Linked DNA regions of Cricetulus griseus. The protein of the gene in region 1 purifies or fractionates together with the protein of each later gene. This does not show direct contact. Links are inferred from orthologs where the notes say so. Each region holds a gene or a part of one and is shown in the gene's direction. Other genes may lie near its edges.

Region 1 (5,423 bases):
TTTTAGATTCTATAAACATGGTGAGAATACTATGGGTAAAGCTTTTTCCAAGAGATATCTTTAAGATTTGTGTATGTGTATATCTGTGAACTTTTTTTAATGGCTCAGCAGTAAAGAACATGTACTGCTCTTCCAGAGGACCCAAGCTCAGTTCCCAGCACCTACTTTGGGTGACTCACAGCCAGTTACTTATAACACGGTTCTAGAGATCCAGTACCCTCTTCTGGCTTTTGTGGGTACTGCATTCATGTGCACAAACCCACATATAGACACACAGATGCTGCTTGTAATTAAAGAGAATAAAATGTTAAAATATTTATGTACAGATAAACCCATTTCCCCCTTAGACCCTCCCTTTTACCATGCCACCTACCCTACAGGGGCCAGAGACCAACAGTTGATTCCCGAATAAGGCCTAAGTAGTCTAATGCCTGCTTATGCCCTGAGGAGAATGTGTGTGTGGGTGGGTGGGTTGGTTAGTTGGTTGGTTGGTTGGTTGGTTGGTTGGTTGGTTGGTTGGTTGGTTTTCTTGGCAGGGTTTTTCTGTATAGCTCTGGCTGTCCTGGAATTCACTTTGTAGGTAGACCAGGCTGGCCTCAAATTTAATTAACTTTTTATAAAAGGATTTTTGTTTTGTTTTTGCGTTTATTTAGTGGGTGTGGAGGTCAGAGGACAAATTGTGGGAGTAGGTTCTTCTACCACACTGGTTCCAAGGTCATTAAGATTGGTTTCAGGTACTCTGTCCACCAAGCTGCTTTGCTGGCCCAGTTTCAATTGTTTGATTTTTTATAATCAACAAAAACACTTTTTTACTGTGGTCAGATGCTCAGGAGGCTGAGGCAGGAGGTCTTATGAGCCCAGGGATAATGAAACGAGAGAATAGGGCTGAGGATGTGCAGCTCAGTAGCAGAGGGTCAGCCTAGAGTCAGTGTGAGAGTCTTGCCGTGTAGCTTGGTGGTACAGCGCTGGATGCAGGCTTCCAGCCCCAGAGTTGTGGGGGGAGGGATGCCTTTCATCTGGGTATGAAAGAGCCATGTTAGGGGCCAGAGAGATGGCTCTGCTGTTAAGAGCAGTGGCTGCTCTTCCAGAGGTCCTGAGTTCAATTCCCAGCAACCAAGTGGTGGCTCACAACCATCTGTAATGCAATCTGATGCCATCTTCTGGCCTGCAGGCATACATGCAGGCAGAACACTATACACAATAAATAAGTATTAACTAAATACAGAAACAAGTGGGGGGGGGGGTTAGCATTTGGTACTTTCCTCCACTCATTTGTGGGCTTCACAGTTACACATCAGCAGACATTGGAGGGTACATCTTGGCACCCATGACACCACCTTCTGAGGCCATCCCTTCCACAAGCTTCCTATGCCACACCAATTTTGAAGCTGTGGTCACAAAGGGGTGAGGTCATCTAAGGGTTTCCTGATGTGTCCCCTCAGGGATCTAAGGTGGGCAAACTGACCCTCAAGACTACGGAGATGGAGACCATCTATGACCTGGGCACCAAGATGATCGAGTCTCTGACCAAGGACAAGGTCCAGGCCGGGTGAGCCACTGGGACCATGAAGGTGGCTGGGGTAGTGAGAATGTTTTTTTTTCCATGACAGGGTCTCTCTGCCTGGCTGTCCTACAACTTGCTTGTAGACCAAGCTGGCCCTGAACTCACAGAGATCCTCCTGCCTCCTCCTGAATGCTGGAACTAAGGGTATGCGCCACCTCTGCCCAGCCCTTTCAGTCTTTGCTGTTGCCCCTGCAGGGACGTGATCACTATTGATAAGGCCACTGGCAAGATTTCCAAGCTGGGCCGCTCCTTCACACGCGCTCGCGACTATGATGCCATGGGCTCCCAGGTACCTGGCACTGGGATGTTTGTATATCTTTTGTGACGTCATGAGGTGCCTGTGCCCTTGCTGCCCTCACACCTGCCCTCAACCCTATAGACCAAGTTTGTGCAGTGCCCAGACGGGGAGCTGCAGAAACGCAAGGAGGTGGTGCACACTGTGTCCCTCCATGAGATTGACGTCATCAACTCCCGCACTCAGGGCTTCCTGGCCCTCTTCTCAGGTCAGCTGTCCCTCCCCAACCAGTCCCCAGCAACTGATGTACCCCCCTTCTGGTGTGTCCCTTCTTTCTCCTCCCTTGGCACAACAAACCCCCGGCTTTCCTGCCCCTTCAGTCTTTCTTCCCAGACCTGCTGTTTGCCTTCTGTTCCCACTGGAGTTTGTCCTTCCCTGCATTGCCCTCACACCCTTTGTCAGGGCCTGGCCTTCCGTCCTTTCTAAAGTGCTCCAGGTCCTAGCCCTGCTGCTGTAGCAGTAGAGCCCTCCTCTGTGGCATTTGTCTTTCTCTGTCCTTGCCCACCCCGGATCCTGGACCCAGTCTCCATCTCCACTGATGTGCCCTGTGTCTGGCAGGAGACACAGGGGAGATCAAGTCAGAAGTCCGAGAACAGATCAATGCCAAAGTGGCTGAGTGGAGGGAGGAGGGCAAGGCGGAGATCATCCCTGGGGTGAGTGGCTAGACACAAGGTGGGCGGGTATGACCTGGGGAAAGGGGTGGAGGTGAGCTTGATCTGTGCCCCAATGGCTTCTAGGTGCTGTTCATCGATGAGGTCCACATGCTAGATATTGAGAGTTTCTCCTTCCTCAACCGGGCCCTGGAGAGTGACATGGCCCCAGTCCTCATCATGGCCACCAACCGAGGCATCACCCGGTGAGCAGCCGTAGATTTCTGGGTGAAGGGGCCCTCTGGATCAGGGGATTGATGGCAGCCTGAGCATAAGTGGACTGAGTGCCATGGTTGGTTAACCTAGCACCTCCTTCTGAAGTTTGCCCTGTATGTTGCCCCCACAATCCTGGGCCACTTGTCGTTCAGAACTGTTGACCAAGACACCCAAAGATACCCCAGGAAATCACCCTGTGCTGAGCACAGGGGCATCTGTTAGACATGTCACAAACTGCTGGGATCAGGCAAGTCACTCAGACTAGTAGTTTTGATCTAAAGATGCTGTGGAGTTCTGGGCATGGTGGCACCCACTCCACCAGTAGTCCTAATACTATGTAGGCTGAAACGGGGATTTTGAGTTCTATGCTAGTCTGGGCTACATGAGACCCTTTTTTTTTTTAAAAAAAAAAAAAAAAAAAAAAAAAAAAACACAAACAAGCCACGCGGTGGTGGCAGACGCCTTTAGTCCCAGCACTGGGGAGGCAGAGGCAGGTGGATCTCTGTGAGTTGGAGACCAGCCTGGTCTACAGAGTTCCAGGACAGCCTCCAAAGCCACAGAGAAACCCTGTCCCCCGCCCAAAAACAAACAAACAAACAAACAAAAAACAGGTCTGAAGCAATGGTTCCCAGGTTAAGAGGGCTGGAGTTTGGAGACCCAGGAGGGACAGGACCCAGGGTGCCAGACTCCCGCTGGTGGTGGGTCATGAGCTTCATCAAGCATATTAGCCTGTCTCATGTTTTTCCATGGCATCCATCCCCCGTTTTTTTAAAGAGTGATGTGTATGTAGGCGGGGGGTAATGTGTAAGTGTGAGTTCAGGTGTGTGCAGAGTCCAGAACAGTATGTCAGGTTCCCTGCAGGTAAATTGACAAACAGTTATGAGCAGCTACCCATTGTGGGTACTGGGAGCCCACCTGGGGTCCTTTGTAAGAACAGTATGTGTTCTTAAGCATCTCACTTTTGTGTGTGTTTATATATATGCACACATGCATGTGGTCTGCACAGATGCCACAAGAGTGTGCCGTACCCTCTGGAACTGGAGTTATATGTGGTTATGAGAAAGGTAGAGGGTAGACAACAGGCTGTGGCCTGGCAACCTCACCTGCTCTGCTCTTCACCCCATTCCATCGCTCCCACTTAGGCCAGCAAAACTCATCGACTTGCTAAGGCCATAGGTTTAAGGTGGCAGGGTGAGAGGAGAGGCATCTTTAGACCAGTGCCTACAGAGGAGCCAGTCCTCAGGTCTCTGAGGGAGGTGGCTGCTTCTAATCCCTTTGTCACATGACGTTCACCTGCAATCCCCAGTCCCGGAAGTGCACTAGTTCTTGGACTCTAGTTTGGAGTCTGGCAGCTGTCCTGAGCCACCTTCCTGGAGAACAGCATCATTATTTGTGGCTAAACTGCCTATGACTGGAACAAATTGTTATGGGTCCCATTGCCCACCAAGAATTGCCTGTGCAGCAGGGTACAGGAGAGCCACTGGCACTACTGGGGAGGACTGTGCTTACAGGTGATAAGAGACTGTGCTCATATAGTTAGTTATTCAGCTCCCAAGTGGACTGATGGCTGTCATGGTTTCCAGGAGCATCCATTAACAATCTTCCCTGACCCCCAGGATCCGAGGCACCAGCTACCAAAGTCCCCATGGCATCCCCATTGACCTTCTAGACCGCTTGCTCATTGTGTCAACATCACCCTACAGTGAGAAGGACACCAAGCAGATTCTACGCATCCGGTGGGGCACCCCTGGCCCCTTTATAGGAACACACATTGGATGGGAGGGATTCACCTAGGCCTCTGCATCTGAGAAGACCAGTATGGCATCCTACCAGTGGGGGAGTTCTGGGGGTAGGGTTGGGAGCCCCTCATATGTGGTTCTGAGGCATGTGTCACGTGTCTTTGGGGGGATGGGTGGGGTGATGTGCCATTCTGTCTGGCTGAGGCCTGCCTGCCCACAGCTGTGAGGAGGAAGATGTGGAGATGAGTGAGGACGCCTACACAGTGCTGACCCGCATTGGGCTAGAGACCTCCCTGCGCTATGCCATCCAGCTCATCACAGCAGCCAGTCTGGTGTGCCGGAAACGAAAGGTAAGCTAGCAAGTTAGCCTGGAGGACTGAAGGGATGACCCTGGGGTAGCCTACAGACCATGGCACATGGGTATTGGGTGGGGACTGAGAACCACAGCAATCTTAGAGGAAAAAGTGGCGGGGGAGGGGAGACCCATGACCCTAAGCTGACATGAGCTGAGTCCCACTTGTCCCCAGGGCACAGAGGTGCAGGTAGACGACATCAAACGAGTATACTCCCTCTTCCTGGACGAATCCCGCTCCACGCAGTACATGAAGGAATACCAAGATGCCTTCCTCTTCAACGAGCTCAGTGAGTATCCCTCCCAGCCTGCTGCCACTGCGGGAGAGGGCCACATGGGAGCACCCTGGACCTCACTCATGCCTGGCTTCCTCTCTCCACAGAAGGCGAAACAATGGATACCTCCTGAGCTGAAGCTCCACCCCAACCCTTCCTACCTTGTTTTCTACAAGTTCTGACACTGTGACTCTGTATAAAATGGTTGTAAACAGCTGGAGCCCTGCTGTGTGTCCTCAGAGCCCACAGAAGACACCCTGGTGCACTTGTAAAGCCTTTATTGGGAGGGAAGGTTGGAACACCTGCCAGCTCCTTGAGATAGAGGCTTTAGG
Region 2 (6,059 bases), on another chromosome or scaffold:
AAGTGGTAATATTTGAGGTTTTAGCTCTTTAGTGGTTTGGAGCTAGGACCTTGGAATGAGACTAACCTTGGTTCCAATTCCCATTAAGCCTCTGACAAATTGTGTGACCCTGTGCAAGTGAACAGAATATAAATGGCTTCTTCATAGAGCTCCAGGAAGGAAAAGAAGAAATCAGAACAAGGTTACTGTAGCTCTACTACATAGCCAGGAATCCAGCTAATGTGGAGGCCTGCTAACTTTTTTTTTCTGAGTCCCAATTAAATGTTAAGATTGCTTCCTTTGAATCATCAAAAGCCAGATGTCAAGAAGGCTTTTGTGGGTATCTGGGGATCTTTACTGTCACAGGAAATGACTTTAAATCCTTCTCACTGATATTTACTGTTTTTCTTCTTATTAGTGTTGTCTTGAGACACAGTTTCACTGTGTAGCCCAGAGTGCTAGTTAGTTTTTTATTAACTTGGTACAAGCCGGGGTCATCTGGGAAGAGGGAACCTCAATTAAGAAAATGTCTATTGTATTGGCCTGAGGCAAATCTATGGGGGCATTTTCTTGGTTACTGATTGACAAGGGAAGGCCAAGCCTTCTTGGGTCTTCTTGGGTGGTGCTACTCCAGGGCAAGTGGTCCTGGGTTACATAAAAGAGCAAACTGAACAGATAAGAAAGCAGTGGTCCTCCATGGTCTCCTTTTCTTCTTCTTCTTCTTCTTCTTCTTCTTCTTCTTCTTCTTCTTCTTCTTCTTCTTCTTCTTCTTCTTCTTCTTTTCTTCTTCTTTGGTCTCTGCTTCTATTCCTGCTCTAACTCATACCTTGACTTCACTGGGTGATGCACTGGAAGGAAACAAACAAACAAACCCTTTTCTTCCCAAGTAGTTTTTGGGCATGGTTTTTATCACAATAAAAAGCAAAGTAGAGCACCTAGTCTGGCCTGGAACTCATTATATGGATGACCCTAGTCTAAAAGTTGTACAATCCTCCTGCCTCTGCTTCTTGTGTGTGAGGAGATTACAGGTGCAAGCCACTGAGCCCAGCTATTCCACTGACATTCACAGACAGGGAATTCATACTTGTCTCCAAGTTACTATTTTTAAGATGAAACACCATGACCAAAGCAAACTGAGGAGGAAAGGATTTATTTGACTTATTTTTACAGCTGTCTATCATTGAAGGAAATCAGGACAGCAACTCAAACAGGACAGAAACCTGAAGGGAGTTGATGCAGAGGTCATGGAGGAGAGCTGCTTACTGGCTTGCTCCTCATGGCTTTCTCAGCCTGCTTTTTAATAGAACCCAGGCCCACTAGCCCAGAGATGGCACCACCCACAAAGGGCTGGACTTCGGCCATCAATCACCAAGAAAATACCCTACACATTTGCCTGATTTTATAGAGGCATTTTCTCAAGTACGGTTTCTTCCTCTCAAATGTCTTTAGCTTGTGTCAAGTTGACATAGAACTAGCCAGTGCAATGCTAGATATGTACTGTGCTAGTTCCTCGAAGTAAAAGGAATGAGAGGGAAGGATGCCTAAGAGAATACATGAGGGGAGTGGGAGACACGTGGGAAAGGCGTTGGGAGAGTGAGGATCACAGAGGAACTAAAAAGAATACTTGAGTAAAGAAAAAAGACAAAAGACAGCTTCTGACGCATGTAAGAAAAGAGAAAAATGCAACAAATAAAAAGGAAGGACAATTCTTGAGAGTGGGCACTGACTAGGCGTCTGGATTCTGATCCTGTTAAACCTCTCTCAGCCCACTTTTCCTTGGGGTTTGTAGTGTGGGTTAGATTAGAAGACTGATGCTCTGTTAATGAGAAAACTATTCAAAGAAGGGTTACTGAAGGGGAGAGGAAGCTGAGGGAGGGGGCCAGCAGTGAGAACTGAAGGAAACCTCAGAGACAGGGACAATGTAAGTAGCTGTGGCTACTGCAGAACCTGCTCCCACTTGCTGAGTGGAAGGGTACAGCGCTCCTCCTGGATAACTTTATGCCATCCTAGCAGCATCTGAGGAGGCTGGACTAATATTATTCTCCTTTTTATGGTAGAGGTTTTCCTAAGGTCGTACAATTGGGAATTCAAATACACCTTGTTTACTTGAAAAAACCGAGGCAATCAAAAGAATTTCTAAGCCTCTCCATAGGCTCTCAGTGAGTCTAAAGTGATCTGGTGTTCCGGTTAGTCCGCAAATTTCCGGGTTAGATTTCCAGTTCTTCCAAAAATTCCCTCAGTCGAAGCCTGGCTCCAGGGCATCCTTTCCCTTTCTAGTCAGTTTGAAAACTCCGCCTAGCCAGGGAAAGCGTCCCGTCTCCAAGGAGACTGGCGCAGGAGAGGACTTCCGGCCTCACGCGCACCCACTTCCGCCTCGGGCCGGAAGCGCTGAAGCCGGCGGCGTGGGTCTGGTGCTCCGGGACCTGGCGCGTGCGTAGCGGGGCCCGTGGTGGCTCCCGGAGCGCGCGGCGATGCTGACCCCCGCGTTCGAGCTGAGCCAGGACAGCGAGTTCCTCACGGTCGCCATCCGCATCCCGCACGCGCGTGCCTCCGAGTTCGACGTGTACTTTGAGGGGGTGGACTTCAAGTTCTACGCCAAGCCGTACTTTCTGAGGCGAGTTCCCGCCGCCCGCGCTCGGCGTTTATTCAGCACCCCGCGCGGGCTCTTGAGTCAGTCCGTGCCTCGTGGACGCACTCGCGGCTCTCTCGCTGCTGCCTCCTCGGCGGCTTCTTCCTGGCGCGCGGTCTACCTGCCACAGAGCACGGGGCCACCCACTCAGTGTCTGTCCTGTCACCCTCGTCCTTCTGGCTTGTGCTGTTCTTTCGCCTCACGCCCGCGCCTCTCCCCTGCGTGGTGACTTCCCCGCGTGGGTCGGTGTTTTGACCCACGCCGGCATGCTTTCCGTGTCCGCCTCTTGGAGGACCGCCCTCTGATTCCTGCAGTTAGTTCTCAGGTTCCTTTTGCATCTGATTAGTCAGTCCATGAGAGGCGAGCAGTGCTTAGCACTTTTCCGTCTGTGTTTTTCTCCCCGTGGAACCAAAACAGTAGTGGCAGCTGACACTGGGGCCACCTTTCGTGTGGTAGGTAGGCAGTATCTTAAGCGCTCGCGTCTTATTTTTGATAGCCATACTTTGAGTTAGGCAGTACTGTTAGCCCCCTTGTGCAGTGGACTCTGTGAGCCTTCCTAAACTTGCTCATCCGTTCGTGGCCCTCCACTTTTCAACTGAGCCCTCCCCTGCTGTCAAGCTGGTTTCTTCACTGCTTTAAGGGAACCACATTAGATGTCAATTAGCATGTCAATTTGAAAATCCAGTAGGTCACCCCCCTACTGTTAGACATCACCCCAGCTCCAGGATTACACGAATGTTCCACTACAGCTTATGTTTTTATTTGGGTTCAGGGAATCAAACTCAAGTCCTCCTGCTTGTATGGCAAGTGCCTTACTGACTGAGCCATAGGCCCAGTCGTGGTTCGGGTTTTGTGGATTCCTTATGTTACTTATACCTCATAGTAGGAGTCCTAAAAGATACCATGAGGACTTTTAGATGTCTTGAAGATATTTCCAAGACTCCTCAGTGGGTATCTGAAACCATGGATAGTAATGAACCCTGTATAAACTATTTCCCCTATACCTACAAACCTTAGATGTCGCTTTATTAATAAATTAAGTTAAAACAAAGCCGAACAAACATAACTTCATTTGATAACTAAGGTTTATAGTGAGGCCCCCCAACATCTGATTATTGATAGCTAAAGTATTAAATGGAAAGTCGTGATATCTTTGATTTTTACTTTCTTAGTTGAAGAAGGAATCTAAGTTATTTAGCTTGTAAAATGTGAACGAATTGCGGAGAAGTTGCCATTCAAATGGTTGATAGATTTTGATGGCTAAAAATGAACTGTGATTGGTGATGGATTACCTTGTGTTTAATCTGCAGATTAACACTTCCTGGAAGGATTGTAGAAAATGGAAGTGAACAGGGAACCTATGATGCAGATAAAGGTATGGCCTTTGGGGTTTTGGACAAAGTTTTCTATATTTTTTATGTGTGTGTTTGTTTGTGTTGCTAAAATTCCTTCCCTAAGAGACAAGTTCTGCCTCTCCTAAGGTCTCATTTGACAAACTAGGTGTGATTCCATCAAAGTTCCCTGGGGGAACCATTGAGTATTTTAGGTTTACAGAGCAGTGCACTGGTAAGGGGCTATGGGCAGGAGCATAGGTGATTCTGAAGTAGCCACGGTGGAAGGTCTGCCTGGCTTCCCCAGCACTGCATAGGTTGAATTCCCTCCCCTCATCCTATACTCTATCCCCTCCTCCATGACCCACATGCAGTTGGGACAGAATTTTATCTATCACACTGGTTGGGGATGGAGAGTGGCTGAATAATCAGGTGAGGGTCCCATGACCCTCTGACCCTCTCCTTCTGTGAGACAAGGTAAAATATTCCACAGGCTCAGCTGTGATAACCTTTTGTGGGCAGAGCCTCCCGTAGCTGAAGATGGGAGTAGTTTGACTCCGAGATACTATACAACAGCATATGTAGCTGTAGGTGGGTGGGTGTGTTGGGAGGGGCTTGTGTGTGTATGGGGGTTCATGTGTGTGCATGTGCAAATGGAAGCCAAAGGATAACCTCTGATGTCATCTGGAGGAATGCTTTTTAGATAGGGTTTCTTAGTTGCTTGTTGCTTATCAGGCTAGAAAGGCTGGGCAGTGAGCCTCATGAATACCCATCTCTGTCACCCCAGCTCCAGGATTACACGCATAGCTTATGTTTTTATTTGGGTTCAGGGAATCAAACTCAGGTCCTCCTGCTTGTATGGCAAGTGCCTTACTGACTAAGCCATAGGCCCAGTGGTGGTTAGGGTTTTGTGGATTCCTTATGTTACTTATACCTCATAGTAGTAGTCCTAAAAGATACCATGGGGACTTTTAGATGTCTAACAGTTATTGTATGATGCATAACTCTTTCTTTAATGTTTAGCGCCTGTTATCTGGCTTTTGCGCAGTTAGCAGTTTTCTGTCTTTTAAAGTATTTTTCAATACTCTTTAAAGTGAATTTAGATCAAATGTTCTAGTTTCATTTTCTGGAATTGTTTCTACTTTTGGCACATGTGCAAAAGTAAACATCAACATGAAATGATTGATTTTAAAGTAGGGATGATTTATGAGCTTTTGAATGGAATTTTTCTTTGACAGTTTTCAAAGTTAAAATTTAATAACAGGTAGATGTGAAATTATCCATGGAAGAAATGTAAAGAGTAATTGAATTTTCTTTTCATGATTGGTAAGTCCCCATTTTAGCTAGCCCCAAAACCGGTTTATTTTACTCTTCTACAAGCTCTTGTCTTTTCCTTTGTAAGTGGGTTTGGAGTAAGAGCAGCATGTGGGGCCAGCAAGGTAGCTCAGTGGGTAAAGGCGCTTGTCTAGTAAACCTGTCAACATGAGTTTGGTTTCCAGAACCATGTAAAGGAAAAGGAGAAAGCTGCCTTCCCAAAGCTGTGCTCTGACTGCCACACATAATCATAGCACAAATGTGCCCCACATGCACCCACAATAATAATAATTTCTTAAATTTAAAGAGCTTGTGTACACTCATAATTTATTCAGTAACAAGTGACCAGTGAACTAGGGTAAAGGAGGGAAACAAGACTAAAGAAACTTATGATCAGATTCTCACTCATAATGCAGTATAACTGATGTGAAAATGATATATAAGGAAGCTGCCATCGTAGCTTATGGGCCTACCTTTAATTGCTAATAACTTACATATAATAATGAAATAATTAAAATGAAATTATCTCTTCATTGCTGGAGAAATAGCTCAGCTGCTAATCACATATATGTCCCATTTGGAGGGGATGTAAGTTTCTGGTTTGCAGTACACAGGCTTATGATTACCTGTAACTCCAGCTCCAGGGAATCTGACACCCTCTTGTGGCTTTCGTAGGCACTTGTACTCACATGTATTAGAAACAAAACAAACAAAACAAAAAAACCTTAAAAAAATAAAAAGCGTAAAGTTCTTAGAGTTGAGTTGTATATGTATGGGTATTTGGGTGGAGTTGCATTTGATATATT
Region 3 (6,037 bases), on another chromosome or scaffold:
AATAATAAAGAGGGAAAAAAAGGAAAAAACCTCCACCAAATTCTTAGGGCTGGACCTCGTGGTGGTGCACGCCTTTAATCACCAGCTCTTGAGAGGTAGAGGTAGGTAGATCTTTGTGAGTTGAAGGTTGGCCTGGTTTATAATAGTGAGTTCCAGGAAGAGAAGAAAAGAAGAAAAGGGGAAAAAGGAAAAAAGAAAAAGATACCTCAGCAGGCGAGGGCCCTTGCCACTGAAGCTGATTGAGTTCCAGCTCAGAACTCAGGGTTGGAATGAGCTGTCCTCTGCAACAAGTTCTCTCCTCCCCATGGGAACATTTAAAAATGTATATTGATTTTTTTGAGACTTGCTCTCATTGTATTGCCCAGGGTAGACTGGAACTCATTATATAGAACAGGCTGTCCTCTAACTTACAGAAATCTGCCTTGCTTCTGCTTCCTGAATGCTGAGTTAAAAGTTGTGCTTCCTCATGCATATAAAAAATATGCATGGACATATTTGTGGTATGTACCATGTTCACAAGTGCGTTAGAGGTTGTAGAGTTTTTTGTTTTTTTAACTGAAGCAGGGACTCTTGCTATGAACCAGAGCTCACTGATTCAGTCTATAGTTAGCTTCTCTGAGGTGTCCCCTTTCTCTGCTTCTGGAACTGGAGTTTCAGGCAGATGAACTACCTCCACTCAGCGCTGGAAATGGAACTGAGCTAGCTCTTCAGCTCCCCTGCGCAGGTTTTGTACGTACATGTAAATACAGCTTCTGTGAGGTGACGTGTGCGACCGCTGCATCACCTCCAGTAGACAGCATTTCACAGCTCTACTCCCATTCACATGCTGCCAGTTCTTAAATTCTTATGAGTTGTGCGGTTGGTGTAGACCATTCATCTGAACTCATTTATTATCAGCGTTTTGACTGGTTGTGGATCCCAGCAGCGACCTCTACGTCAATCAACGTTCGTGCTGCATAAAACCGCTTCTCTGGCCAGTTGAGAAAAACCACAAACCAGATATAAATAAGTACAAGTATAAGGCAACTTGACAGCATAACCTTTTTACACCAGCCTACAGGCCTACAGGTACCGACAGGCCTAATGAAATTCACTGGGGTTACAACAAATAAACTCCAAACTAAAGAGCAGTTTAATAAAAGATTTTAGAGTTTCCAGCTCTATAATACCATCTAGCAGTAAAAAGAAATATCAAGAAAAAAAAACAGCAGTAACTAGACAAGCACACTCTTCTAGCTTAAGTTTTTTCCCTTACACAACTCAAAAGTCTAACGTTGTACAGTAAAACCAGGGGAGAGCGCGAACGCAGTCCCCCACTACCACAAATTATGCAGTCGAGTTTCCCGCATTTGGGGAAATCGCAGGGGTCAGCACATCCGGAGTGCAATGGATAAGCCTCGCCCTGGGAAAACCACCTTCGTGATCATGGTATCTCCCCTGCCAGGTAAGTATGAGTTGCAGCCGCCCCGCGCGCGCTCTCCCTCATTATAGACTTACTCTCTACTTACGGTCTGTTTTTTACTGATCCTCCTCTCCCTCACATTCCCTTGGTCTAATAGTGAACCCTAAAACCACCCTGTACATAAGTGAATATTATCCATTAACAGTATGGGAAGCCTTCTTGCGGGGAACCTGCATCCTCTGCGTGCATGTCATTTACATACACCACGCCTTTGTTGTGACGTTGCAGGAATGCGTGCTAAGGCCCCGCCTACTAAGGGTGGCGGGGCGAGGCTTGTTATTGATTGAGGGTCAAGTCTGGAAACAAAAGGGGCGGTGAAAACCTGTCTTTGAGGCTCAGGCTCTGGGCAAAAAAGCAGCTCTAGCTCATCGTTTCCGCCAGCGGAAGGAACTCATCCTCACAGTTCAGTTCTAGGAGATTCACCCCTGTAATGTTTAACTGCCGATAGAAAATCTTTTTACTTTTGCATAGTATTTTTCTAGGTAGGTCTACCACATATCACTTATTTGCATACAAACCACTAAGCCTAATAAAAACCTGGGGAGAAAGGCCAAGATAACAACTTGGAAGAAAGAAATCAGAGTGCACGGTGGCGCACAATTGTAATCTCAGGGCTCCGCAGGTCAAGGCAGGCGGAGCAAAGTCAGCCTGGGCTGTGTAGCGAGTTCTAGGTCAGACTGGGCCAGTGAGACCATCTCAGAGGCTAAATAAAGCGACAGCAACAACAAAAATCCATAAAAAGGCAACTGCTGTTTTCAGCGGCAAAGAAAACGCAGAGCCAAGCTGATCCCCGACCCTCCTCCGGTGCCCGTGCCCTGGGACGCCCTGCGCAGGCGCGCACAGGAAGGGCTCGCATGACCAGCGGAAGTGGAGAGTCGGGACGCTTTAGGGGAGGTACCCGCGGAGTACACAGACACCCGGACCTGCAGGGGACCGCGTAGGCCTCCCTAGGCCGCCATGAACCGGCTGCAGGATGATTACGATCCCTACGCCGTGGAAGAGCCGAGCGACGAGGAGCCGGCTCTGAGCAGGTGGGCCGCTGCCCCGCGGTGTCCGCCCGGCCCTGGCCCGAGGCCGTCGTGCTCGCCGAGCCTGGGTACACTGTTCCCGCTTCACTTGTAGGAGCCTCAGGGTGCCTGGTGGGGCTGCTCAGTCTCTGGGGAACCGGGATGGACAGCAGTGCGGGAAGAGGGATGTTCCAGAATCCCGGGGGGCCCCCAAGCGTAAATCTCAGCTGGAACCCTGCTCCTTAGCGTTTGCTAGCACTGTGACTGAAGGCAAGTCAGTTCTCCTCAGCTTCGCATCTGTAAATGGAAATACAAGTGTGGGACTCGTGAGGTCCACAGGCCTCAGTACTCATCTGGAAGACTGTCAAATAGAAATAACGGAGCAGTGAACGGGGAATTTCTTTTGGCTTATGATAAGAGATACAAAATACACAATTCTTGTCTTGGTCTGTGGTACTTTTGGAAAGGGAGTATTTATCCTACCTGAGGGAACTTGGAATGCTTTTACTTATATGTAAAACATGTTTTTTTTCCCCGTTTTTAAAAACCTTGCCGGATATTAAACCCAGGGAATTTTTTAAATCTATCTGTTTCGGTTTTTTAATTTTAGTTTTGAGACAGGGCCTCAATGTGTAGCTCTGCTTGGCCTGGAACTTGCTCTATAGACCAAGTTCATTTTGAACTCAAGAGACCCACTTGCCTCTCTGCTTCCAAGTGCTAGGGTTAAAGTGCACCCCCCTGACTGGCTTGTTTACTCCTTTATTAACCTAGATTCTAGAGTAGTGGTTCTCAACCTTCCTGATGCTGGGGCCCCTTAATACAGTTCATGCTGTGCTGACCTCAACCATAAAATTACTTCATTGCTTGGCAGGTGTTCGGTGTTTCGTGGGTTGGTTAAAGGAAGAGGATCACTCCTAGATGAATTTTAGGTTTTCTGGCAGCTGGGAGGAACAGTTTCTGTGAACTGAACTCCAAACATTTGTGCAAAGTTGTATTTGATTGTTACACAAAAGGTGTTTTTTTTTGTTTGTTTTTTTTGTTTTTTGTTTTTTTTTTGTTAAAACAAGTTCCTTATACCAAAGTCCCTAATATAGTCATATGTCCATGTCCTTCTGAAGAAAAGCATCACACATGTGCCACTTTAGTCCTTATTGTTCACTGTATTATTGGGTATTGCAGTACCCAGTAATCCAAATTATCCAGGTGTGCCAGGACAGTCTTGTGACCAAAGTCATGCAAAGACTGTAAAGCTCTTTCAGAAAAACAACTCTATAGATAACAGCAAACAATCACTGTTTTTTACAGTGATTTCTTCAAGGTCTCAGTACTTCTAGAAAGCAGCTATTATGAAGTTTATCTTTAATACAGTGAAAAACAACTGTTTCATTCTAATGTTTACCTTAGATACAATGATTCTACTAATTTTTCTTGCTATATTTCTACTTTATAAATAATCTTGCTACTGTTATGAATCATACTATAAATATCTGTATTCAGGGTATCTGATATGTGACTCACGAGGAAATTGAGAACCATTGTAGAAAGGGCATGTGGGTGCTGGGAGGGGAGCTAGATATGAACATGCACACAGTAAGTCTGTTACAAGCTAAACCATCTATTTAACTGCTATATGTTGATATATTAACTGTATATTAATTGTATCTCTCTCTCTCTCTCTCTCTCTCTCTCTATATATATATATATATATATATATATCCTAAATAAAACTCTCAGTTTTGTGAAGTAAGTTTTTTTCAGTTGATAGAATTATGAATTGGTACAAATATTGAAAATCAATGTGATAATACAAGAAGTCAGAAAGAGGGACAGAAAAGATGGCTCAGGGGTTAAGAGCACTGGCTGTTCTTCCAGAGGACCCGGGTTCAATTCCCAGCACCTACAGAGCTGCTCACAACCATCTAACTGTAGCTTCAGTTCTACGGGATCCAGTGCTCTTTTCTGGCCTCTATGGGCACCAGGCAACACAATTGATGCACAGATACACATACAAACAGAACACCCCCACCCCCACACACAAACGAAAGAAAGAAAGAAGCCAGACAGTGGTGGGACACACCTTTAATCCAAGCACTCAGGAGGCAGAGGCAGGTGGATCTCTGGGTTCAAGGCCAGCTTGGTTCTGCAGAGTGAGTTGTCGGACTACACAGAGAAATCCTGTCTCACAAAACCAAAACAAACAAGCAAACAAAAAGTAACCAACCAAACAAATAAAAAACCCAGAAACCCGCCCCCTGAAAATCGGAAGGATTAGCTGATCTATTGTTTATTAATGATTATTGCTGCATGTAATGTGATAGGTATATCAGATGTAAATTTGTCAAATTTACATTTGCTATTAAAATGATAGAAGTTTTAAGTGATTTTATTTTGTTTTGTGATGCTATATTTTTAACCTAGGACCTTGCACATTTTATGTGAGTATTGTACCACTGAGCCACAGCCTAGCCGTGATTTTAATATTCAGGGCTAGAGAGATGGCTCAGTGGTTAAGAGCACTAGCCACTCTTCCAGAGAGGTCCTGAGTTCAATTCCCATTTGTAGTGGGATCTGATGCCCTCTTCTAGCCTAAAGGCATACATGGAGATAGAGCACTCCTGTACATACTCCTGTAATAAATAAATTAAAAACAAAGAAAAATACTTTAGTATTCATATTCCCTGTCTGTTATGTTAGTTCTGAAGATGAAGTGGATGTGCTGTTACATGGAACTCCTGACCAAAAACGAAAACTCATCCGGGAATGTCTTACTGGAGAAAGTGAATCATCTAGTGAAGATGAATTTGAAAAAGAAATGGAAGCTGAATTGAACTCTACCATAAAGACAATGGAGGATAAGCTGTCCTCCATGGGGACAGGTAAACTGTGGGCTCAGTTCTCACAAGACACCCTGTAAGGGAGTGAATGAGTGTATATATGTGTGTGTGTGTGTGTGTGTGTGTGTGTGTGTGTGTGAATGACGGGTAGTGATGGGAGGTAAACCTGGGTCTTGTGTTTGTTAGGTAAATGTTCTACCACCGACTTCTAGCCCCACCTCCCTTAAAATTTGAGACAGGGTCTGGTTAGTTATTCAGTCTGGCCTTGAACTCACTGTAGCCTATGTGATCCTTTTGCCTCGATTCTTGAGTGTGAACAGGCCTGATTAATACAATCCTTACTAAATGAAGAAATGAATGTACTTGACAATCTGCCCGAGTTTTCCACTGACTAACACGTGTCATGTGTTATTGGAAAGATATTATTTAATAACAAATACATGTATTATTTCCTTTTGTAGTTTTTAACACATGTGGGCATAGTGGCCCACACCTTTACCCCCAGCATTTGGGGGCAGAGAGAGGCGGATCTTAGAGTTTGAGGCCAGCCTGTCTACAGAGTGAGTTCTAGAACAGCGAGGGCTACACAGAGAAGCCCCGTCTCAAAAAAACCTAAAGAAAAACAAGGCATACGAAAAATTGTAAGGTTTAATGGTATGTCACTACAGATTCCTGTCCGTTTGTAGTGACTAATAAGCATATTTCATTTTTAGATTTTTATGTAAAAGTTACTT
Region 4 (6,043 bases), about 29 Mb from region 1:
AACTTGGGATGGAATAGGGTCAGAAGAACTGAAGTTCTTCATGGAGCTGATATAATATGACTTCCTATCAATCAGCAAACACACTAGAGGCCTGCCTCATGTGAGCTGTGGAACTAGGTTTATAGTGATGAAAGAGGAGATGCCATTCTTGCCATTGGCTAGAAGTTCTCACTAATTAACTTTGGAGGCTTTCATTAATTAACTTTGGGTCAGAAGCTTTTGAACATTGGATGGTCAATAAACCAAAGAGCTTGGATACTAAAGTATGCCACTGTGAGAATAGAGTTTTGGACTCAGGATAGATCCAGATTTAAATCCAGCTCTGAAATCCACTAGTGGTATTAGAACTTGACAAGTTACCTGTCTGAGTCTCAGTTTCCTTATTAGTAAAAATTACAGTATTTCTCCCTATGAGGAGTATGTACCCATAAGAATTAAGTGGATTCAACTTCTTGAAACCACACACACACACATACACCGTTCACACTTTCTGAGTGTAACATTAAGCAGAAACGCTACAAGAAAGCTATCCTTTCTGAGCCTGAGAAGGATCAGGCATTCAGATAAAAAGGTCTGGGTGACTCATTTTTTTCAACCACTGTTGCCCCTTGCCTTTCAGGTCTGAACTCAGTAATGACCCACCCCCAATCTGAGAACTTCTTGCTCTTCCTTACAAGATTGGATTGGAACTACTCCAGAGGGTAGCACGAAGAGCAGGGCATGCCTACAAGCATGAGAACGGTTTTGCTTACAAGAAGCATGTCACAGTGTTTTCATTGTTCCCAATAACAGTGGTTGTAAAACACAAGCCCACTGAACTATGCTCCAAAGTGTTGATGCCTGGTCAGATTATTTAGATGTTACTAGGAAGTTTATCTTCAACCATACTACCTTCAAAGGGAAAGTTGGAGACAAAGGGGAAACAGAGAAGGGAAAAGGGTAGGGAGAAAAATAGAAAATAAGTGGGTGGCAATGAAGATAGTTGTGCTTTATCAAAAAATAGGAGAAATTAGTTTTTACAGTTAGATTTTAGCAAACCATCTACCCTTTTCTGAGCGAGGTAGGGATTTTGTCAATAATTACAAAATGGTAAAATTGTTGCACTTTGTGGGAATTTTCTGAGAAACCTGTAATGGTTAAAGACAAAGAAAACTAGGCAACAAAGAGGTTTGTGTCAACAGTAGCTGTATCTAATTGAGTCAATTTGATTCTTCCTTTGGCAGAGATACTGCTCTACTGCTTCTGGCCAAAACTATGTCGCCTTTCTCTGACAGGTCACAGCAACTGCCCGTAGATGTCATTTGGTGATTAACTTTGCATTACTCTCTCGTGTCATCTTGTATCGTTTTCTTCAAGTAGCCAAGCATTTGTCTATATGTTTTTGGACTATAATCTTTTCAGATGCTCTTTTCTTCAAGTATTTACGACTCTTACTGCTAATTATTCAACAGTTGTAAAGCCGTAACATGCAAGTTAATTGATTCAGGAACTTTATTAAACTCTTCGAGTTGCCACAGCAACCAGTATTTTTTTTTTTAACATACGTATTTGCTTGGGCAAAATATTTCAAATCGAACCTTTAAGAACTGGCTTTTTTTTTTTTTTTTAAGTCAAGAGAACTACCTACCATCCACTAAATAACTAGGGAAGTTTGGATGACAGGTGCAAGTCCGCTTGTTGCGCCCAGCAGTCTCAAACTAGGAGCCCTCACGGCTACCACAAGCATCCTGCCGGTGCAGGCGGTGCAGGCGGGAGTGCCTCACGTTGGGGCGCTCTTTCGGACCGGGGCTGCCCGATTTTTCAGGGCGCGAGACGCAGCAGGGCTGTGACTCTCGGCGTGGGCAGACGCCACGGACTTTGCGTACCTCCCCGGGATGCGCAAACCCGGGGCGCGAACCAGGCAACAGGCGCTCCGGAGATCAGAGCTTTCTAAGCGCAGGCTCGAGTGGCGACCGGTCGCCCGGGTGGCCGACCTCCTGCCCCCTGGGGCGGGCGGTCCTGAGCGCCGCGCCTCCCCGAGGGAGCCCTGCGCGCGGAACGACTCGGCGGCGGAGGCAGAGGCAGAGGCAGAGGCAGAGGAGGCGTCTGCTCTGGCGCCCGGGCGAGCGCACCTGGCACCTGCTGCCCCGCCGGCGTCCCGCCGAGCGCCCGGCACACAGGCACCCGGGCACCCGGACTTAGCTCGCTGTCGCCGGCTGGCTAGCCGCGCCGAGCCGCGCCGCGCCGCGCCGCGGAGCGGAGAGAGTGGGTGGGCAGGCAGGGGAGGGGAAGGGAGAGGAAGGAGGGAGGGAGGGAGGGAGAGGGCGACGCGCGTCCCCGCGGCGGGGGCGCGCTCTCGCGCGGGCTGCCGGGATCGCTCGCCGCCGCTGTGGTAATGTCCGCCATGTTGGCCATGGCGCAGGGAGCGGATCGGGCGGGCGAGCGGCGGATCTAGAGTGTGGAAGCGGCCGCGGGCGGCGGGGGGCTGTTTTTGGGCGGGGTGGGCGCCCATGCGGGGCCGGGGGCAGTGCGGAGGAGGAGGAGGGGCGGGCCGGCCGCGCTGCACTGAGGAAGGAGGTGGAGGAGGCGGCGGGAGTGCTCCCCCCCTCCCCGCCCGCCCCGCCGCCGCCGCCCGGGCTGTTCCTGTAAGGCGGGGAGACAATGAGTAAACTCTCCTTCCGAGCGCGGGCGCTGGACGCCGCCAAACCGCTGCCCATCTACCGCGGCAAGGACATGCCTGATCTCAACGACTGCGTCTCCATCAACCGGGCCGTGCCCCAGATGCCCACCGGGATGGAGAAGGAGGAGGAATCGGTAGGGACTCGAGTGTTTATTACCCCCCCTTCCCTCCTCCCCCCTCCCCTTTGTCAGCCGGGCCTCGCCATTCACAGAGCGCTCTACGCTCGCTGGAGGGCGCCGCTGCCGCTGCGCGCTCGGGACCCTACGCCGGCGGAGTAGCGTAAACCTGTCGGCCGGCGCAGCGCCCGCCCGCGGCCGCCATGTTGTTGCGTCCCAGTGTTGTGATTAGCTCTCGGCGCCGCTTACGCTGCCGTAAGGGGGCCTTGCCGTAAGCAGCGGCCGGGAATGGCGCAGGGATGCGCCGGGCCGCACTTGGCGTACGGCCTCTGTTTACCTTGTAATAGACGTTTCCCCGGCGCGGGCTTGATTAATTGAGCGGTGTTGCGGGGTGGGGGTGGAGGTCCTTTGGCTAGGCGATCTTTTCGTGACACTTTAAGATCCTTGCGTGCATTCGAGTGCCTTTGAGATGATGCAGGAAAAGTAAAACTCAACAAACACCTTCGTGCTAGCTGGGTGATGGTTTGAGTTAGCAGGGTGACGGTGTGCGCTGCCCGCCCGAGGAGGTGCGGCGGGACGAGGCGGTGCAGCCCTGCTCCGGGGCAGCGACTCCCGAGCGGGACCCCGCGTTAGCGAGCCCCCTGCACCGCGCGCGGATTTAGCCTGCCGGGCTGGCCCTGCTCGGTTGCACGGCGTTAGGAAGAAGCCCGAGTGCTAGGAACCAGGCCCGCGCTTCCCAGCGCACCGTCCCGGGGAGGTAGCATGCGAGATGGCCATTTCCAAGTTGAAAGACTCAGTGCGTCCACATTGACATTAGTATTTTTGACCGCATAGTAACATTTTGGCAAAAATGCTATTTCCCTCTCTCCAGGGGTTAAATTTTACCTAAGACTGAATTTCCCCCGACTTGACGGTGTTTACGACTCTGGAGTGTTGTTACTTGCATGCGAAGTTCATAGTAACTGCACCCTGAAGAATTTCTTCAATGAACCTTCAGTCCCGCCTTATTGTCAACCTCGGGTGTGTGTGGATTGGTTCCCGTGCTTCTGTGACTGTCAAAAGAAAGCTGGAGGTTTCTGCGATTGGTTTTCTCTTTTGACTATTAATAGTGCAGGAAATGCATTTAAGCCTTTGATTGGCTGCTTGAATTCTGACCTCATTGTGTTGGTGCTTTGACTTAATCACATTCTCTTTGGTGTTTGATTACCTGATTTAACATTTTCAGTAGAAGATAAAATCGGGCCTCTTTTTAAACCTTCAATTAAAAAAAAAAAAAGCCTAGCTTTTATGCCTAAGATTTAGTGCTTAGTCGTGTTTGAGAAATTGGCTTACATAGTCATTGACTCAATTTTGAACTACCTTCTGACAGTGTCTTGATAAGGTAATTTAGAAGTTGTCTGCTTTTGGTAGCATGGTGTTGTCTTTGCTGGACACATCTTTCTCTTAACCATTTCTTTTGGACGTGTGTTTTTACATTGCTTTCTTCTCTTCCTTATGTTTGTTGAGGTTTAACAGTTGTCATCCTGTGTTTCAGTCCCAGTAGTGTTCCTCATGGTGCTTGGTCTAAAACTCTGTAATTTATTTTTACTGTAAACCCCAAAAAAGAACTTATTAGTTATTTGGCTATTTCTTCATGAATATTGTATAGTAGTAGTTATTGTTTTTAATATTGCTGTTTGTGGAATATTTAGATCCCAGATACCGTGTCAAGAATTCTAGGTATATTTAATATAAAATTTTTTTAAAAATTTACTTTTCTGAGACATAAATTCAGGAAGATTTACCCGTTTACAATAAAGATTTAATGAGGTTTCACAAATGTATACAACCAAGAATAAGAAACATTTCCAACTTCAGAAAATGTTCTTGTCCTCTGTAGCTAATCCCTGGACTGTAATTCCAGGAGACCATCTACTTGCTTTCACTATAGATTGGCATTGCATTTGGAAGTTTTGTGTCAATGGAGGATAAGTATGTGTGTATGGCTTCTTTTGCTCAGCATGATACTATTAATTATTGTCTCTTGTTTTATACACCATGTATTCCTTTTACTGCTGAATAATATTATAGTTAACATATACTCCATATGTACTTGTTACTAGACATTTGAGTTTTCCCTAGTTTATGATTATCTCTTAATCTTAGTGATGACAGCCTTGTGAGTCACTACAGTTTTCTGTTTTATAGATAACCTAAAAGGTCTCACTGATGGTAATGGTCAGGAATTCAAACCCTTGCTCTTGATGTTGAAAAGTTTACTGCTATAATCCCCATTCTTTCATATTTAGGATTGTTATAGAACCCAGAATTATCATGGTATTATATTTATTAGGATTTTTGTAAATAATTTATTTTTATAATTCTGAGAACTTTCAGAAATTATACTGACTTGCTTTGACTATTAAGTTACTAAGAAGTTTGGGTGTTTTTTTTTTTTTTAAATCACTTAACTCTGGTTTGGCTTTCTTTTGCAGTGTTGAGGATAGAGCTATGGGCTCTGTACTCTTATCACTGAGCTGTATCCTCTGCTCTGCTTTGCTTTTCTTTCAGATTCTCTTTTTTTATTAGTAGTAACTTGATTTTGCTTCTTTTTCTATTGACACCATTATATTTGACTGCTTGTTGCCTTAAGCATATAAGAATAAATCCTAGTTTATACTTTAGATTCTTCTCTTGTTAGAATATAATCTTTATAATGACTTTACTGATTTTGTTCCTTAATATATTCCAAGTGCCTGGCACCTAGTATATGTGCTTGGTAAATGTTTCTTGAATGCGTCTTTTCAGTATTGAGACCTGTTTTTCTATGCATGTTCACTCTTGTGCATTCTCTGTGTGAGCACATATACATACATACATACATACATACATACATACATAAATGCACACACACACACACACACACACACACACACACTCTTATAATGCAACAGAAAACAGGAGGTTGTAGAAGCCCTTTTTGTTGCTTTACTTTGATGCTGCACAAAACCAAATATACTAATTTTGTTTTTTTCTCTTAATTTTGAGGCCATTTTTGATGCCCAGTTGTTTTTTTGAACACATAGGTATGACTGAAGTATTATTATTTTTTGTCCTGTGATAATTAACTATTTCATAACTATGAGGCAGATTTCTGTGAGTGAGATCTCCTCACATGCCTGAGCCGAACTCTACATGAATCATGATTCAGCATACACACACACACACACACACACACACACACACACACACACGTATGTATGTACAGTGTTTTAAAGACAAAAGTCAC
Region 5 (6,146 bases), on another chromosome or scaffold:
GGTGGTAAGTCTATACTAATTGCCCCTTCCTTGCAATACTATAAAATGCTCTAATAAATATCTCCAGTCCTTTTTTTTTTTTTTTTTGAGACAGGGTTTCTTTGTGTAGCTTTGTAGACCTCAAACTCACAGAGATCTGCCTGCCTCTGCCTCCCGAGTGCTGGGATCAAAGGAATGGGCCACTGCCTCGCAGCTTACGTCTCCAGTTTTGCTCCTATGTTTTCTTCTAAGATTTTATTTTTTATCCTTATAGGTCCATGATTCACACTGAATTAATTTTTGTGTATAGCATAAATTAAAATGATCATTGCCAGATAGAGGAAGGAGAAATAAGAGAAGATACAACCAATGAGATTCCCCTAAGACATTTTAATTTTTCTAGGCTAGGGATGATTTTTATTTTATTTTAGTTTTGATACAGTCTCTCTGTGTAGTCCTGGCTGTCCTGGAACTCATTATGTAGACTAGGTTGATCTTGAACTCACAGCGATTCACTTGTTACTGTCAACCCAGTGCTTGGATTACTACCATGACTGACAGGATTTTTATTTTTTATTTTATATTGTTTGCAATACCAGGATAAGTGCCTCACTTATAATAAGTAAGCATTAAGCTAAAAAAACCCTTGCCTGGCCCAGCAGTGTGGCACATGCCTTTAATACCAGCATTCGGGAGGCAGAGGCAGGCAGATCTCTATGAGTTAGAGGCCAGCCTGGTCTACAAGAGCTAGTTCCAGGACAGGTTGCAAAGCTACACAGAGAAACCCTGTCTCAAAAGACCAAATAAATAAATACATGAATAAAAAAATCCTTGCCCTGAAGGCAAGGAGGCATGTTCTACTTACCAGTGCCCATCACACTGTATTACAAGCTTTACAAGAATCTTTAGTGGGTTGTGAGAGATGGCTTGTTTGTTAAAAACATTTGTTGCAGGATGGAGAGAGGCTCAGAGGTTAAGAGCACTGCCTGTTCTTCCAGAGGTCCTGAGTTCAATTCCCAGCAACTGTATGGTGGCTCACAACCATCTATAATGTGATCTGATGCTTTCTTCTGGCATGTAAGCATGTATGCAGACAGAACACTGTATACATAATACATAAATATTATAAATAAATATTGAAAAAAAATTGTTGCTTTTGCAGGGGACCTAGGTTCCCATCACCCAAGTTGTGGATCAGAACCATCTCCAGTTCCAGGGAATCTAATGTCTTCTTTTAAGCTTTATGTGCACCAGGCATGTATGTGGTGCATAGACACATATGGAGGCAAAACACTTATCCATATACCAAAAAAAAAAAAAAGAAAGAAAGAAAAAAGAAAGAAAGAGGGAAAAAAAAGGAAAGAATCTTTGATTTCTTTTTCTTTTTCTTTTTCTTTTTTTTGAGGTATAGTCTCATGTAGCAAAGTCTGGACTTAGACTCTACATAGCTGAGGATAACTTTTATTTGTTTTTGATTTTTGTTTATTTTATGTATATGGGTATTTTGGTTGCATTTATTTATTTATTTATTTATTTTTGAGACAGTGTTTCCCTTTGTAGCTTTGGACCTGTCCTGGAACTAGCTCTTGTAGAACAGGATGGTCTTGAACTCACAGAGATCTGTCTGCCTTTGCCTCCTGAGTGCTGGGACTAAAGGCGTGCTCCATCACTTCCCGGCTGGTTGAATCTATTTTTGTGTACCTCGTGTGTGCACTATCCACAGAGGCCAGAAAAGGGTATCAGATCCTCTAGAATCAGAAGTTATGAGCTAACATGTGAATGCTGGGAATTGAACTTGGACCTCCAGAAGAACAGCCAACGATCTTAATCACCCATCCATCTTTCCAACCCTAGACCTGGTGTTTCTGATTCTCCTGCCTTCACCCACAGGATGCTATGTAGTGGAGCCCCATCGGTCTATGTAGTGCTAGAGATGGAATGAACCAAGGGTCTCCTGGTACATTCCCACTCCAGCAGATCTTGCATTCTTCTCAGCCTTCCGGCTGTCTGCCTTGGGCTTCCAAGAGTTGTTTGATTCCTTGGTACATAGCAGGCACTCTAACGCTAACGTAAAGAATGCATGAACAGTAGAACAAAGGATTCATTGAGTTGGAGCTAGTATTACCTATCGGCTCTGAATTCATCAAAATAAATACAGGAAAAAGGTGCATCGTAGGCAAACTTCTTAAAATTGTAATGGCTTTGGCCTTTGAGAGAACAACATCAATAGCCAACTAAACATCTTTTCTATTGGAGTCCTCCTAAATAGATCCGACTGGCGGAAGGCGGAGCGCGAGCCTATCTGACCACACCCCTCGCGATGAAATCGACTTTTAGACCCGCCCCCTAGACGCGGGCTGCAATGTCCATTGGAGTGCGCGCTAATCCATCAGAGCATCTCGGCGTCTATTGGGTGAGTTTCTGAACCCTGTTGCGCACTTCCTGGAGTTGGGAACGCGGAGCGGACGTCGTCTTTCCGCCATTGCTCTGCGGGCCGAGCCGCTACCTGAGTGAGGGGGTACAGGTGGGTGGCGAGCGTCCGAGGCTGGGCTGCAGACGGTCGGGTGGGCCGAGCAGCCTGAGGAGCTGCGTCAGGCCCAGGCCACGAGCGCTCAGCCCGGCTAGCGTGCGGGCCAGGTGGCTCCGGACGCGTTCCATTTGCCTCTTGTGGCCCCGGGCCTAGCGGCGTAGTTTTGGCCTCCCTCTCCTTCCCAGATTCTTCCGGCATGGCCGGAGTGTTTCCTTACCGAGGGCCGGGTAACCCGGTTCCCGGCCCCCTAGCCCCGCTGCCGGACTACATGTCAGAGGAGAAGCTGCAGGAAAAAGGTAAGAGGCGAGTGGGAACGGCGCGCGCGGGCTGGAACGTGCAGGCGGGTTTCACTTCATCTCTCTGTAGGCAGGTCCGCAACCTTGTTAGCCGTATTTAATTTCTTAAAATTTAATCAAATCCTTGAAAGATCGGAAGCACCTGCTATTTGCAGGAGCTAATTGTGTGTGTGTGTGTGTGTGTGTGTGTGTGTGTGTGTGTGTGTGTATGTATGTATGTATGTATGTATGTATAGCATAGCATAACAATGGAGACAAACCCGTCCTCTTTAGGGGATTTTCATTACAAGGAAGGAATTAGACAGCATCCCCTCCTAAACATCTATAGCAAAAATGTCAGATAATTTGGGGGAGTAAAATGGCAAGACACTTGGCAGGGTTTATTCCTCATTCCACACAGAATGCTGTGTGTGGGGGTTACCCTAGGGGCAAGAGTGGGTATAATGAGGGTAAGATCCTGCAGCCCTTTAAGCTGAGGTGCCTTTATAGCTCGAAAATGGCAGCAGTTACAAGCCAAGCGCTATGCAGAGAAGCGGAAATTTGGGTTTGTGGATGCTCAGAAGGAAGACATGCCCCCAGAACATGTCAGGAAGATCATTCGAGACCATGGAGACATGACCAACAGGAAGTTCCGCCATGACAAAAGGGTCTATTTGGGGTAAGCAACATCCCGGGATAATTTCATATGGAGTTTCTATAGACCAGGATAGCCTGGCCTGGAACCTACGGATGGTTTCCATGCCTCTGCCTCCCAATTACTGGGATTAAAGGCAAGTGCCACCAGGCTCAGCATGGAACATGGCTCTTGAGCACACAGAGTGGTGATTGTAAGAGTAAAGCAGGGACCATTGGAATTCCATGATAATATTCATGTCTTCTACCTATGCCATTGTTTTGATTTGCCCTGCTAATGTCATTATAAAATGTCATTGTTGATTTGTTTGACACTCTGAGACACTATATGCACTCTGTTTGCTTTTAATTTTTCAGTCATCAGAATTTGGGGCTTTAGGGTGTTTCATTCCTGGAATCTTTTTTTTTTTTTTTGGTTTTTCGAGACAGGGTTTCTCTGTGTAGCTTTGGAGCCTATCCTGGCACTCACTCTGGAGACCAGGCTGGCCTCGAACTCACAGAGATCCACCTGCCTCTGCCTCTCAAGTGCTGGGATTAAAGGTGTGTGCCACCAACACCTGGTCAAAAATAATTTCTTAACCAGCCATGGTATTATATGCCTCTACACTACTATAATCTTTGGGTTACAGAGACAGGAGGATACAGGCTTGAGGCCAGCTTGGACTACTCCATGAGATGCTCTGTTAAAAACATCAACAAAAGCTAGATGTGGTGGCACAGGCCTATAATCCCTGCACATGGGAGACAGGTGAATCTCGTGTTCTACACAAGTGAGTTCCAGGTCATCTAGGGTTCTATAGTGAGACCCGTCTCAAACAACAACAAACATTATTATTACTATCATTATTGAATTTTGCTGTTGGTGCTCAGATATAGCAATAAACAGACAGTATTGATCCTCTCCTTTTAAGAGCATACAGTTTAGTGGCATCATAGGTGAGAGACAGATGGCTTAAGGCAGCATTTTCTGTGGAACATGTGATGACTTCATGGCATGCCATCAAGGGACAGATAACAGAATACTTACTCATTTCTAATGGTTTCTCGTCCTAATGTTACAGAGCCCTCAAGTACATGCCTCATGCAGTTCTCAAGCTCCTGGAGAACATGCCCATGCCTTGGGAGCAGATTCGGGATGTGCCTGTTCTGTACCACATCACTGGAGCCATTTCCTTTGTCAATGAGATTCCCTGGGTCATTGAGCCAGTTTACATCTCCCAGTGGGGGTGAGAAGGGCTGGAATGTGGTGGGTGGTAATGGCTGGTGTGCTTAGGGATGGGGGTAGTGGCAGTGGCAGCTGAGGATCCAGCATGATATGATGGTCTTGCCTTTTGCCTTCTAGGTCAATGTGGATCATGATGCGTCGAGAAAAAAGAGACAGGAGGCATTTCAAGAGGATGCGTTTCCCTCCGTTCGATGATGAGGAACCTCCCCTAGATTATGCTGACAACATCTTAGATGTTGAGCCTCTGGAAGCCATTCAGCTAGAGCTGGACCCTGAGGAGGATGCCCCTGTGTTGGATTGGTTCTATGACCACCAGCCATTGAGAGACAGTAGGAAGTGAGTGGAACTAATTCCCGTGAGAGTTCTGGAAAGTAGCTGTGGGAAGGCAGTAGGTTAAGTGGCTTGCCTCAATGCGTACTTGATATAGGCCTTCCTTCTTTTCCCTAGGTATGTTAATGGTTCCACTTACCAACGCTGGCAGTTCACATTGCCTATGATGTCCACTCTCTATCGATTGGCCAATCAGCTTCTGACTGACTTGGTGGATGACAACTACTTCTATCTGTTTGACCTGAAGGCCTTCTTTACCTCTAAGGCACTCAATATGGCCATTCCTGGAGGACCCAAATTTGAACCTCTTGTTCGAGATATCAACCTACAGTAAGTTGGGGAGAGTATCAATGTTAGGCACTTTAGGTTTTTTTTTAGTTTGTTTGTTTTGGGGGGTTTGTTTGTTTGTTTGTTGGTTTTTCAAGACAGGGTTTCTCTGTGTAGCTTTGGGGCTTGTCCTGGAACTCACTCTAGACCAGACTGGCCTTGAACTTACAGAGATCTGCCTGCCTCTGCCTCCCGAGTGCTGGAATTAAAGGCACGCGCCCATCACCACCCTGCCAATTTTAGGCACTTTGTATGTATTAAAATCTAATTTTTATCCTTAAGATTCTTGTCTAGCAATGGAGCTAGACTACTTATCCGGTTTCCTGTTCTAGGGATGAAGACTGGAATGAATTCAATGATATTAATAAGATCATCATCCGTCAGCCTATTCGTACTGAATACAAGATTGCTTTTCCTTACCTGTATAACAACCTTCCACACCATGTCCACCTGACCTGGTAAGACACCTGGAATATAGCAATTCGACAGGAGAAAACCCATATAAATTTGGTCCAGAGCAGAGCTGTGATTGACTCTTGCTTTCCTTGTAGGTACCACACTCCTAATGTTGTATTCATCAAGACTGAGGATCCTGATTTGCCAGCTTTCTACTTTGATCCTCTGATCAACCCAATCTCTCATAGACACTCAGTCAAGGTAAGATGAAATCACATGCGTTATGGGGTGTGAGCTTGGGGTCTGATGCATGCTAGGCAAGATTTCTGCTTCTCAGCAGCCTCTACCCCGCTTTTTTATTTTTGAACATATAGTACAGGCTGACACAAATTGACTGTGCAGTTCCAGGTTGGTTTGTACTCTCAGACCT

Evidence for each region.
Region 2: the proteins of Ruvbl2 (region 1) and Shq1 purify together in Homo sapiens (affinity purification with mass spectrometry; 4 studies listed by BioGRID and IntAct, with this or other methods). This does not show direct contact. The link is inferred for Cricetulus griseus from reciprocal best matches to the Homo sapiens genes RUVBL2 and SHQ1.
Region 3: the proteins of Ruvbl2 (region 1) and Eapp purify together in Homo sapiens (affinity purification with mass spectrometry; 3 studies listed by BioGRID and IntAct, with this or other methods). This does not show direct contact. The link is inferred for Cricetulus griseus from reciprocal best matches to the Homo sapiens genes RUVBL2 and EAPP.
Region 4: the proteins of Ruvbl2 (region 1) and Epc2 purify together in Homo sapiens (co-immunoprecipitation; 4 studies listed by BioGRID and IntAct, counting the BioPlex papers as one, with this or other methods). This does not show direct contact. The link is inferred for Cricetulus griseus from reciprocal best matches to the Homo sapiens genes RUVBL2 and EPC2.
Region 5: the proteins of Ruvbl2 (region 1) and Prpf8 purify together in Homo sapiens (affinity purification with mass spectrometry; 3 studies listed by BioGRID and IntAct, with this or other methods). This does not show direct contact. The link is inferred for Cricetulus griseus from reciprocal best matches to the Homo sapiens genes RUVBL2 and PRPF8.

What each region holds. Positions count from the first base shown.
Region 1 is NC_048599.1:154,327,273-154,332,695, reverse strand, and holds the end of Ruvbl2 (ruvB-like 2), read left to right. Parts: intron 1-1,442; coding exon 1,443-1,549; intron 1,550-1,759; coding exon 1,760-1,853; intron 1,854-1,943; coding exon 1,944-2,067; intron 2,068-2,417; coding exon 2,418-2,512; intron 2,513-2,596; coding exon 2,597-2,715; intron 2,716-4,341; coding exon 4,342-4,461; intron 4,462-4,684; coding exon 4,685-4,814; intron 4,815-4,991; coding exon 4,992-5,106; intron 5,107-5,198; coding exon 5,199-5,224; 3' UTR 5,225-5,311; downstream 5,312-5,423. UniProt on the Homo sapiens protein: Possesses single-stranded DNA-stimulated ATPase and ATP-dependent DNA helicase (5' to 3') activity; hexamerization is thought to be critical for ATP hydrolysis and adjacent subunits in the ring-like structure contribute to the ATPase activity.
Region 2 is NC_048601.1:43,280,204-43,286,262, forward strand, and holds the start of Shq1 (protein SHQ1 homolog), read left to right. Parts: upstream 1-2,356; 5' UTR 2,357-2,450; coding exon 2,451-2,593; intron 2,594-3,918; coding exon 3,919-3,983; intron 3,984-6,059. UniProt on the Homo sapiens protein: Required for the quantitative accumulation of H/ACA ribonucleoproteins (RNPs), including telomerase, probably through the stabilization of DKC1, from the time of its synthesis until its association with NOP10, NHP2, and NAF1 at the nascent H/ACA RNA.
Region 3 is NC_048598.1:147,606,034-147,612,070, forward strand, and holds the start of Eapp (E2F-associated phosphoprotein), read left to right. Parts: upstream 1-2,334; 5' UTR 2,335-2,419; coding exon 2,420-2,493; intron 2,494-5,163; coding exon 5,164-5,345; intron 5,346-6,037. UniProt on the Homo sapiens protein: May play an important role in the fine-tuning of both major E2F1 activities, the regulation of the cell-cycle and the induction of apoptosis. Promotes S-phase entry, and inhibits p14(ARP) expression.
Region 4 is NC_048599.1:124,848,120-124,854,162, reverse strand, and holds the start of Epc2 (enhancer of polycomb homolog 2), read left to right. Parts: upstream 1-2,340; 5' UTR 2,341-2,640; coding exon 2,641-2,793; intron 2,794-6,043. UniProt on the Homo sapiens protein: May play a role in transcription or DNA repair.
Region 5 is NC_048600.1:88,934,169-88,940,314, forward strand, and holds the start of Prpf8 (pre-mRNA-processing-splicing factor 8), read left to right. Parts: upstream 1-2,443; 5' UTR 2,444-2,705; coding exon 2,706-2,805; intron 2,806-3,294; coding exon 3,295-3,463; intron 3,464-4,499; coding exon 4,500-4,664; intron 4,665-4,780; coding exon 4,781-4,999; intron 5,000-5,110; coding exon 5,111-5,323; intron 5,324-5,652; coding exon 5,653-5,778; intron 5,779-5,871; coding exon 5,872-5,977; intron 5,978-6,146. UniProt on the Homo sapiens protein: Plays a role in pre-mRNA splicing as core component of precatalytic, catalytic and postcatalytic spliceosomal complexes, both of the predominant U2-type spliceosome and the minor U12-type spliceosome.